3 linked regions of the Coturnix japonica genome follow. The protein of the gene in region 2 interacts with the protein of the main gene of each other region in a pairwise test. Links are inferred from orthologs where the notes say so. Each region holds a gene or a part of one and is shown on either strand. Other genes may lie near its edges. The genes, in order: CYTH1, IPCEF1 and CYTH3.

The links.
Region 1: the proteins of IPCEF1 (region 2) and CYTH1 interact in binary tests that used the Homo sapiens proteins (3 or more experiments, as listed by UniProt). The link is inferred for Coturnix japonica from reciprocal best matches to the Homo sapiens genes IPCEF1 and CYTH1.
Region 3: the proteins of IPCEF1 (region 2) and CYTH3 interact in binary tests that used the Homo sapiens proteins (3 or more experiments, as listed by UniProt). The link is inferred for Coturnix japonica from reciprocal best matches to the Homo sapiens genes IPCEF1 and CYTH3.

The regions. Positions count from the first base shown.
Region 1 is NC_029533.1:4,599,320-4,603,067, reverse strand, and holds the start of CYTH1 (cytohesin-1), read left to right. Parts: upstream 1-1,171; 5' UTR 1,172-1,302; coding exon 1,303-1,375; intron 1,376-2,845; exon of another isoform or gene 2,846-3,125; coding exon of another isoform or gene 3,126-3,150; intron 3,151-3,748. UniProt on the Homo sapiens protein: Promotes guanine-nucleotide exchange on ARF1, ARF5 and ARF6. Promotes the activation of ARF factors through replacement of GDP with GTP.
Region 2 is NC_029518.1:45,233,750-45,237,497, forward strand, and holds the start of IPCEF1 (interactor protein for cytohesin exchange factors 1), read right to left. Parts: upstream 2,394-3,748; 5' UTR 2,217-2,393; intron 2,113-2,216; exon of another isoform or gene 1,872-2,112; intron 1-1,871. UniProt on the Homo sapiens protein: Enhances the promotion of guanine-nucleotide exchange by PSCD2 on ARF6 in a concentration-dependent manner.
Region 3 is NC_029529.1:8,519,544-8,523,191, forward strand, and holds part of CYTH3 (cytohesin-3), read left to right. Parts: intron 1-470; coding exon 471-583; intron 584-1,369; coding exon 1,370-1,518; intron 1,519-2,293; coding exon 2,294-2,405; intron 2,406-3,648. UniProt on the Homo sapiens protein: Promotes guanine-nucleotide exchange on ARF1 and ARF6. Promotes the activation of ARF factors through replacement of GDP with GTP. Plays a role in the epithelial polarization.

The sequences.
Region 1 (3,748 bases), on a different chromosome or scaffold from region 2:
CAGTGCCCTGAGCTGGGGCTGCAATGTGGAAGCAGAGACTGAGCCACAGTTGGTGCAGCTGTGATTATTGCAGCCCATTTCAAGTGCCCGTGGCTGCCCTCCCTGCACAGGCTCCCCCTGGCCCAGCCCTGTGTCCCTGCAGCTCCTCACACCTTTCACCTCTGCAGTGAGGAGGAGGCAGAAGCTGTTTGCTTCCAAGGGAAGGGGAAGCAGCACAACTCAGTCATGGAGGTGATGAGCACCTGTGAGCAGCCGTTCCCATCTCCTTCCCATCCATCCACAGCTGCTCCCAACACCAGGGTAACTCTTGCCTGTCCCCAGCCATGCCCCCAAGGTCCTGTGCCCATTCCCATAGCCCTTCCCCATCTGGATGCTATCTGCCCACCCTGGGGGTTCTCCAGCTCAGCCCATTGCAGCAGGCTCCCAGCAGCAGTCAGGACCCAGTACCAGGTGCCGTCTGCAGGACACGGCCTCATGCCCCGACAGGCTCTGCAGTCTGTTACTCACGGACGTGCCCCACGCTGGGGAATCACTCCTGCTCGGAGGAAGGGAAGGAGCTGTCTGTCCGGTTTGGGCTCCCTCGCTGCCTGTGGGGCTGGCAGGTTGGGGGCCGGGTGCGGTGGGGCTGAGTGCTGCCCCCAGCCCTGCTGGAGGCCCATAGCTCGGGCAGAGCCCCAGCTCCTGCTGTAGGAGCATCCCGGCTGCCAGGGCCTGGAGAATCATCTCCATCACAGCCATGATGTGCCAGCTCCAGGCTGCCCGCTCTGCATTCCCAGGTGCCTGAATCCATTGTGGCCATACTGGGGAGCAGCGTTCCCCTGTTCCCCACAACTGGGGGCTCCCCACGCCAGCTCCAGCCCGTTGTGTTTCTTTATGCACCTTCCTTTTATGCAGGGAAGGTTGCTACGCAACCAGCGGCTCTTGATGCTTAAAGCTCTAATACGGTGGGATAAAACCGCTCTAAAAATACCCCCGCCGTCAGCCACCCAGGGGCCGGGGCATGCAGGGGGGCAGAGGGGGGGCAGGCAGCCTGATACCAGGGGTGCTGTTGGGAACTTCCCTACTCTACGTCCTCCAAGTGGCTTTGAGTGCCCAGGAACACAGCAGCGTTCGGTGCCGGCACGGAGCGGGATTGGCTGCGACCGGCGCGTGGGCTCCTGCTGCTGGAGCCTCCCGCTGCCAGAGCCGCCTTCCCCTGCTCCAGGAGGAGCGGGGACACCCGGGGCAGCCCCAGCTGCAGGGAGCTGCTGTGCGGTGCCCTCCTGCCCTCAGCCTGCCCCGGGGGAGCCGGCACTGCGCAGCATGGGGACGGTCAGCGAGCTCTGCGCCTCCAGCTTCCAGGCCTTCCTCTGCCCCTCCGTGGCCACCACGGCAGGTAGGTGCTTTGTGCCCCATCCCTGTCCCCCCCAGCAGACGAGGTGCCCGTAGCTCTGGCTCCATATGGCTCATGCTGACAGCAGCACACAGTCCCAGTTGTCTTGCTGTCTCCTTCCACCGTGCGCTGCCAGGCTTGGGCCCCCCTGGGCTCTGGGTGCAGCTTGTATTGCACCACATTGCTGGGATGGGGAGCCCATGGGAGCACAGTGGGTTCACGTGGCACAGTGAGATGTGTCCAGCAGCTCCTTGCTCTCTTACCCCAGCGCTGCTGCGGGTGATGCCCTCACTGCTGCCCTACTCGGAGCAGGAAGGAGCATGCGTGGCTGTGAGCACAGCTCCAGCCCACGTCCTCCAGACAAAACCTGGCTGGGGCACCCTGACGCCTGCTGTGTCACAGCTGCCACCGTGGGCTGGCAGTGCCTGTGAGCTGCTGTTGTCTGTCTGCAGGCTCCTGCTCCCGAGCTGAGACCTGGGAATAGAGAGTAAGCAAGGAGCACATGGGGTGCACTCCTGGCACTCTTGCAGGACGTGGGGCTGTAGGAAGGCATAGCACAGTGAGGATGGATGTGGCTCCGTTGTGTGCCCCTGCTGTACTCCAGCCCCGCAGCCAGGATGGGCTCTGTGCTTAGGGGGTGCAGGAGCCTGGAACTGGTGGGCTGGGTTCCTTGCTGGGGGCAGGGCTGCTCCAAGGGGCTGAGAACCCCCGGCAGCTCTCAGCTATGGGGTGGGGTTGGGGGATTCTATCTTGGAGCCGCCCTATGCTGTGCTCCTGACGCACCTCATCTGTCTGTGGGGAAGAACAGGGCTGACGCAACCCAGGATGTGCACACAGCACAGTGAAAACAGGATGTGGTGCACTGGGGCAGCGGCAGGAAGTTTCTTGGGGCCCCTCAGCAACCCCCCCCCCCAGCAGTGGGGTGCAGCAGGAGCCCCATGGTGGAACCCACAAGCAATGCCCTGTGGTCAGCAGCCCCTGCCCTGGGCTGGGGCATCCCTGCGGTCTGTTCAGCTCTGCTTGTGGATGGAGCTGTGCAGCAGGAGGGCTGTGTCCCTGCAGCACAGCGTTCAGCTGGAAGGCCAATGTGAGCCTCTTTTTAGCTCCTTCTTCCCTGAGCTTTCCTGGGAGATGCTCTGGATGCTGTTTTTCCATCACACGCTGTGGAGCAGGATTTAGCTGAGTCAATGTGCCGGAGCTCTTGTGGTCTCCCCGGGCAGCTGCAGCGGGACAGGACCTTGCTGAGGGCTGTGCTGCTGCAGGCACGGCCCTATTGCAGGGAATGAGAGCAGGTGGTCCTTACAGCCTATACAGGCCCTGAACCCACACATGGGGGGGGGGATATGGCTGGACAGTGCCAGATCTTCAGGGCAGGGTTGGGGCTCTGGATGGGGTGGGAGAGGGGTCCCTGGTGTCACCGCCCTGAGCTTGGGACGTGCTGAGCCGCATGCATCCTGGCAGCCCCCGAGGAAGGAAGGGCCGGGCCAGCTCCAGTGCCTGCAAGGATGGGTGGGCGGCAGTGACCCTGGGGGCCGAGGAGGGGGCGCGGGGCTCTGGCTGCACAGGAACCGGGTGTTGCTGGTGCCAGTTCTCAGCCGGGCTGCGATGACGCCTGGCACAGCGCTGAGCTCATTGGCCTGGAGCTGCCCTGACTCACCCAGGAAGCTCTGGGAGGGGGCAGCTGTTGGCACCCCAAAGAGCAGCACCTCTGCAGCACTGTGCAGACGTGGGCAGCGGGACACAGCCCAGCAGGATGGTCCTCGGGGTGCAGGGCAGCGGTGAGCAGATGGGCCTGCGTGGGGCAGTGGGTGGGAAGGAGGCACGTGGGGCTGAATGCGATGCAGAGGGGCTTTGTGTCTGTTCAAGGCATGGTGTGAGCGGGGTATTTGCTCCTTGAATCCAGGATGGAGCCTTGCCATGCTCCTCACTGCCCTGGGGGTGAGGCAGCAGCTCCCCTGCATTGCTCTGCAGAGGTTGGGGGGATGGCTCAGAGTATTGGTGCTCTGTGGTTTGTGCTGAGAATCCTTGCACCCAGCATGGCAGCCTGGGATGATAGCCTGGCATGGGATGTTAGCCTGGCATGGGATGATAGCCTGGCATGGCTGCTGGATTTGGTGTTCTGCTCCAGCCCCCTCTTGCAGCCTTGTGCAGGCTCAGAGGTTGCTGCAGCTCCACTCGGTGCTATGGAAGGGTTAACGCCTGCGTCCTTCGCTGAGAAAAGCTCTGCGTCTGGGGTTTCTCTTCCTCCTGCTGCTGCTGACACGGCTGGGCCATGTCACGAGTGCTCTCCCAGCACAGCATCAGGCAGGCTTGGGGGGGGGCTGGGCTTTGTGGCTGCTATGAGTCCCTATGAGCCCCTTGCCCACACTGCCCGGG
Region 2 (3,748 bases):
CATGTTTCAGGCAGTTCATATCTGAGCATTCCCAGGACACTCTGAGTTGTAGTGCAGCTCAAGCAGAGAAAAGAAGATATAAGTATCTTGCTTATAGTTCTCAATGCATTTGAAAAACAAAGGTTATTAATTATTAGTTTTTAACTTAGTTTATTATTCTCTTACATTGCTACCTTGCTGCATATTAATACTCCCTAAAAAACTTAAAACTCAGCTCCCCTAATCAAAGGTTGTTCCCACTAATAAATTGCCTATTCCGTATTTTTATACAAATTATTTTACACAATATGAGTCATATTGAAATTGCTCTAATTTAAATACTTATGTTTATTTGCATGACTAAGCATTGTTTATCAGTAAACTTGGCACTTCGCATCTTCAAACATTTTAATTGCATATACATCAGTTATCTGAAAATGTACCCAGGAACTAATCTTGGAATCATATGCATACACTCATCTACTGCTTCCTGAAATAACTGATGCTTTCCCATGTGCACTGAATCACAGTCAAGGTAACAGTCACAGGCCTGAAGAAGCATTTCTTACTTATGGGAAAAAATGTATGGTCCAGAGAGGAGATAAAGATTACCAACTAGATTGATTTGTGCAGAACTTCCTCTGATTCAATTTTCTGGCTATATCCCCTTGTCCTATTTGCCATGCACTGCCAAAAGGAGTCTGGACATTTGCATTCTGAACCTTAGATGTTTATAGACATTGATCAGATACCCACTGAGTCTTCTTTTCTCATGGCTGAACAGACCCAGCATTTCCTCATAATAGAGGTACTCGAGGCAAAACTGGAAAGAGATTTTGAGGAATCATTAAGTCTGCCTCTCCCATCAGGTCAATTATACTTGGACTATTCCTGACAGAGGGCTACCTAACATGTTTTTTAATTGCAGCAAGTAACAGAGGCATCACAGCTTCCTTCAGATCTCTAATTCAGTGTTTAATTCTCTTAGTAAATAAATTTTTACTAACTTTCAGCCCCATGCTCCATTTAAGCCTATTACCTCTTGTCCTATGAAAATTAGCCCTATAGTTTCTATTTATTTACAGAAATCTTTATCACGTTTTTTCTTATAAGAACAAATCAGTCACTTAAGACTATTCAACACCAATTTATTCAATATTTTCTGAGGAGCCAACACTCCCTGAGCAAAGAGTCTTTAAAATGCCATTGCCCCTCCTTGTAAATTATCTGCTGTAGTAAGTACTCCATCTTCAGTGATGGGCACTGCTGGCCTAAAATGATGGTAACTAAAAGGAATGGAAATTCTCCATTAGTTTGGTTAATAAGAGACTTTCAGGAAGAACCTGCTGAAAACAAGAGCCCCAAATCTTTTCACTGATCTTTGCTTATAAGTACATACATATAGTGATATATATGTGTGTATATATGTGTGCATGTATGCATATATCGAGCCAACAAGTTATTTGAGCAAGTCACCTCTGCATTGCTTTTTCTATTCCAAACCCAGACACTTAACTTCTGCAACTTAGACCTTAATTTTTAATTTTCTTTTTTGTATGAACGTGCTTAGAAAATAATTAAATCATGGATCCAGCGTGCTGTGGACATTTACAGCTGTACAGTTCTGCTTGTTACAAAATGTGCACGATATAAATAAGTGAGAGTGTCAGAAAGGGGTAGAACATAAAAAGTCACAGCGTGCTCGCTTGCCACTATCAACAAAATATCCCAGAGAAAACTAAATGCATCCTATTAGCTGGAAAACTAAAGCTGCCTGATGTGTAGGAAGGACAGTATCTGTCTCCCCTAATCCCTACTACATTAAAAACAAAACAAACAAAAACTATTCACTCAATTATCACTCTGTTTGTCTCATTATTCTCTCTCATTACCTTTTTCTGTATTAAACAATCTACCACCAAGATTAGGTTGCTGAACACATAAAATTAAGGCTGCACAAGACAGAGGCTGGGTTTCCATTTCCTGGCCAGTGCCAAATCTCCTGACTGTTAGATGAGAACAGCAGACACAGAATCCACCCCATCTGAGGGATCTCCTCCTGCCTTTGCACGACTCCCACATCCTCCTCAGGAAGCACTGCTTGAAACATAACTTACACTAAGCAGATCACACCTGAAAAATGTATAAAACATCATTACTTTAAAACAAAACAACTTGTATAAATTGCTCATAATGTACATCGTTACTTCAATCCTCTGAATACAGTTTTAACTTACCACAAGTCAAGAGATCACTCGTAAAGTTTGCATATGTGAACCAAGAGGGCTGCCCGGGCACCTAGGACTACTTCCCCTCTTCCTTTTCTTACCACCCCCTCAAAACTGCCCCATGAATACAGGAAGAGAGATCACCAGCTGCCTGCTGAAGAAAACAGCCCCTGAATAGTATGCATCATTCAGATGATTTGGATGATTCAGTGTTTCCACATGAACTCTGCTGAAGATGCACACAAATGGCGCTTTGTGCATTTCTGAATCGCAAGCATAATTAATAGTCCAAGTACATATCAAAACAACTTCTATTTGAAGAATAACCTTCCATCTAAAATACAGCACTGTATCTGTTACAATACAAGAGTTCCAGTTCTCAGACCTATTAACAGCTAGATTCACTTGTGTTTACATACTCCAGCATCTCCAGCCTTTATATACCTATCTAAAAAATCGTTCTCAAAAGTTGCAGTGAGCAGGACAATGACAAGAGGATCTAGTGGCAAACTCATCATTTCGAAAGCCACCTGATGTGATGTGCATTGGTTTTAAGCTGGAAGGGCTGGGAAGGAACAGAAAGGCCAGATGTTGCTTTCTCAGATACCGCAACACAGTAAGCACCTGTTTTGTTCCTAGGCATTTCACAGACTTAACTGCAGCTACATTTTGAAGGTTCAAGATGCTCTCACTATTTAGTAACTCACAGGAGAATACCATTAAAAATTCCCAGATATAGGCTGAGAACAAATGAACACACATAAACAAAATGAATGTACTTAGTGTGGTGCTCAAGGATGAAGAAATAGTATCTGTTTTTGCTTCTCTAATTTCCCTTTCTCATTTATTCAGAAGTTCACTTGATTCCTCTCTGTCAACAAGATCCTACTTTTATTTCAGCCCTGTAGCCATAAATCAAGAACGGCCCTGTTAAACCAAACAGATCAGATTTGACACAAAAAAAAGAAGAATCAGACCTTGTGCTGACTTGTTCCTTCCCGATCTGCCCTGTTAACTTTCCAGGAGAAGTGCTTGTTTGTCCTAGAGAACAAAAGCAGCATGAGCATGTAGAACCAGCCCAAGGTGCTCTGCAGGAGACACACAGTTAGTTGTTGTCTGAATCCACATGCAGCACCCATGCCACCACAGACTACTGTGCTTCAGCAAAGATAGAAGGATTGAAGGTTGCAAGGTAGGTAGTAATAACAGAATGCCACCAGAAACCATGCATATATTTTTCCACCAATGGTTTGTGAGCCATACTTTTATTTTCATCACAACTGAATTTTGCTTCATCTTAGGATGCAGACATTATACATATGCAACCTGAAGAGCTTGTGTCAAACTTGTTAGGCTGGTGCAACTTGCATCCTACAGCTCCTATCCCGAACCAGTGCTGTCAGATTCATCCACCCTTGCCAAAACATTTCCCATCTTACCCAGCTACCCAAGCAGCAAGCACTGTGTGAGACCAGAGTGTCCCAAAATCTTCTGAAATTTGAAAATGTGCCAAATATTTCCCTAGAGACAGTGAAATCCAC
Region 3 (3,648 bases), on a different chromosome or scaffold from region 2:
ATTCACTTAAAGGTAACAAGTGTTGCTGTACTCCTTCCTTTTCTCCCTACCAGAAATATTTTATCTCCTGTTTCTTTCTGCATTGCAAGTAAAGTCTAACTGAGTGCTTATTGCTTTTAGTAGACAGGGATCCCAGGGAGGATTGACCTGTTTTTGTTCCCTCTCTAGTATTCTCATGGAAAAATGGGATGCATACAGAAAATTGTTTCCTAGCCCTGAAAAAAGAGAGTCTCAGAACATGAACTGCCATATTACCTTGCCTGATAGCATGCAGTGCTGCTGGCTGCATTACTGGGTTACCATCTGTGCATGTTGCTTTACGATAGCTCCTGACTTGTTTGGTGAGAAATTGAGAACATATTTCTAGGACACTATATCCACATTGCTGGGTTTTGTTTCTGATTATTAGCAATAGTTGCTTAATATATAAATATTGGCGTGAGTCTAACAGTGATTCTTCTTTTCTGTAGGCAGTTTCTGTGGAGCTTCAGACTCCCAGGAGAGGCTCAGAAAATTGACCGTATGATGGAAGCTTTTGCTTCACGCTATTGCCTTTGTAACCCAGGTGTCTTTCAGTCTACAGGTTAGTTATATGTGATGTTAAAATGTTAATGTTCTTCCACATCTGGTTCAAGGAAACAGTGGCTAATTTGAAAGTCCAAAGTAAAATAATACGTGGAATAATCAGTTCCTGAGAACTGAGAAAATGCTGCTATCTGATTCTATATTTCACATCTGGAAACCACAAGCTGATGGTCAAGTATTCATTTCCACTTACTAAACTCTACCATTACTATGTAAACTAATTTGAGTATAAGACACACTTTAGAAATGTCCCCAGACTGTTTTGGCTGCGTGTAGCTGAAAAGTTAAATCACGGCCTGACCAGTGACTGACACCTGGTATGAAGGCAGGGCCAGCCCAGGGCAGCTCAGGTACATGCAGCGCAGCTGAGGGAGCAGAAGGGGTGGAGGCAGGACCCACTTCTGCCCAGACCTAATGTAAGGGTTTGCAGTGGAAGTGAGAGTATCTTGCTGGAGATTTGGAGTTCTTCCAGAGGTAAGTAGTTTGTTTTGCTTTGTTTATGTGTCCACAGCTGCTGCATTTGGGCTTGTTCTTGTTTGCTGCAGCCCAGGATTGTGCCACTCTGCTATTATTGCTGTATATAAAATGTTATTTTCAGTTTTATTTACATGCAGTTCAAGTGTTATTTTGAAGAGACTGTTCTTCCTCTGGGTGTCTGTGATAAAACTTTGGAGACACTTTGAATTGGTGTCTGACAGACCAAGTCAGTTACAGCATCTACTCAAGTTTGTAAACAGAAAATGCATATATAGAAAAATAAATCATTTTTCAAATCTGATTTCAGATACGTGCTACGTGCTGTCCTTCGCTATCATCATGCTGAACACCAGCCTGCACAACCCCAACGTCAAGGACAAACCCACAGCAGAGCGATTCATCGCCATGAACCGTGGCATCAACGATGGGGGGGACCTGCCTGAGGAGTTGCTACGGGTGAGTGAAAATGGTGCAGATCAGGGGTTGCTTTTTGTTTTTTAATAGGAAAATGAGAAACGTACACGACAGTTCTCAGACTGATTTCTCAAGGGAAGTAACGAGAACTTTTTCTGCCACGTGTAACCATTTGAGAAACTGAAAGAAGTGTTGACTGATACTCGTGGTTAGTTGTCTCTAACTTTGGTTGGTCTAATGTTGAGAAGAGATTCTGGAGGAAATCCTCTGTATGTTTCTCACACTGTGCTGTGCCAGTGTTCTTATGGGAAAAGTATTATTCCTACTTAAGTCAGAGAAAGGAGGAAAATTAATTGATGAAAACATCATTGTTTTGTTACTGCCTTTCTATTCTTTCCATGTATCGTGTGGAGCTTCCTCCTCTGCCCTGAGCTAACAGCAGAGATGTTTACTTCACTAACGCAGTGTGATGGTATGAAGTATTTTCTAAGAGCCCAGATTAGTTTGGCAACAATTACAGAAAATTGGAACAGTTTGAGAAGCTGAAACTTCTGCAGTGTGGAATTCTGCGATAACAGTGTGTTCGATGGGGAGTACTTACAAAATCTGGGGGAAGGGAGGGAGAGTTTACACAGAAAGTAATTGGAAAACAAACTTATTCAGTGTGTTAAACAGCAATTGGGAATGGATGGTCCTGAGTTATTTGGCAGCGTTTGCTTTCTGTACAAATGAACTGAGCAGCAGTAGGATGTTCTGGTTGTGTTTTCTGTTACATGTTACTAATGAGGTCTTCTTCCTGTTTTTTTTATTCTTCTAGAATTTATATGAAAGTATTAAGAACGAGCCCTTTAAAATCCCAGAGGATGATGGCAATGACCTCACACACACCTTCTTCAACCCTGACCGGGAGGGCTGGCTGCTGAAATTAGGTTAGTTACAGGAGCAATCTCGCTGCTGTCTGTTGGTTGTTAGCGTGTCTGCTCCTTCTGTGTCTGCTGCTTCCTTATAAACGTAACGGGGTTCGTGCTGTAATTTACATTTAAAACGCTTAAGCCAAAATAAGTAACTCCTTTACAAGGGAAGGTTGTTACTCCTTATTGCACTTCTACATACCAGCCGTCTTGTTTCAGACTTAGGAGTTTTTTTCTGGTATCTGAGAACTGAAAACTCAGCAGCAGAAAGGAAACTCCATCTGGTGTTTGCCACGTGCCGTGATGGATGGATAACAGCTAAACCTCCACGGAGTCACTGCAGAAAACTAGTGAAATTTTGACTCAGTTTTCTGCGTGCAAAACCAGGATTTCTCGTCAAAGAGTTATTTTTGTGTGTCTTTATTTTTCCATATTATTTGTGAGTTTCTCTTGGTTTGGTTTTGGTATGATTTTTTAATGAGTGGTTTAAATGTGCCTTCTTGTTTTCCTTATGGCCTATGACCTATCACCTTTCTGTTCTGTGACTGGCTGTCTCTGCTTATTCGCATTAGGAGGTACGTATCTGATTGCTTTCCAGCCCCCTCTTGTTCAGTTGCTCATTCTTTTATTTTCTTCCTCTTCCCTCCTCTGTTTTGTTTTTTTTTGTTGTTGTTGTTTTCTTTTATATTTTTTTTTTTTACTTTTTTTCTTAAATTTATTGTATCACTTTGCTTTTTCACTCGGTGTCACTAACCGTATCATCAGTGCTGTTCTGTCCACAAAGGCTGGCATGAGTGTCTGGCTCATGTGCAGGCATCCTCTGCTCAAGGAGGTGTTTGAACGTAAAGCAGGAAAACAGATGATTTTTCTGCATTCACTGAAGGATGCAACTAGAAGAACAATTCTGACCGAGAGAAAAACGTTTTGTGCTCTAACAAAATCACTTTGGATCTTTGTTATTAATTTTATGTTAGAATTTTGGGAAACCTTGATTGCATTGGGAACTACACACACAGCAAAGCTGTTCTTCTTCTGTGTATTGTCTTTCGTAAGCGTCCTATTGAGTAAGAAAAACATATTCTTAAATTAGTGTGAATTTAGGGGCACTGGACCCTTCAGTGATACGCAGCCCCTGGCACTGCACTGTTACAGCCTCCATTAAGCAAATGAATCCCATCAGTTTTACTTGTGCTCAGGGATTTTTCTCCCCTATAAAGCAGAGTGAAATGTGATATTGTTCATTTGCTGTTTTTGCCCGATG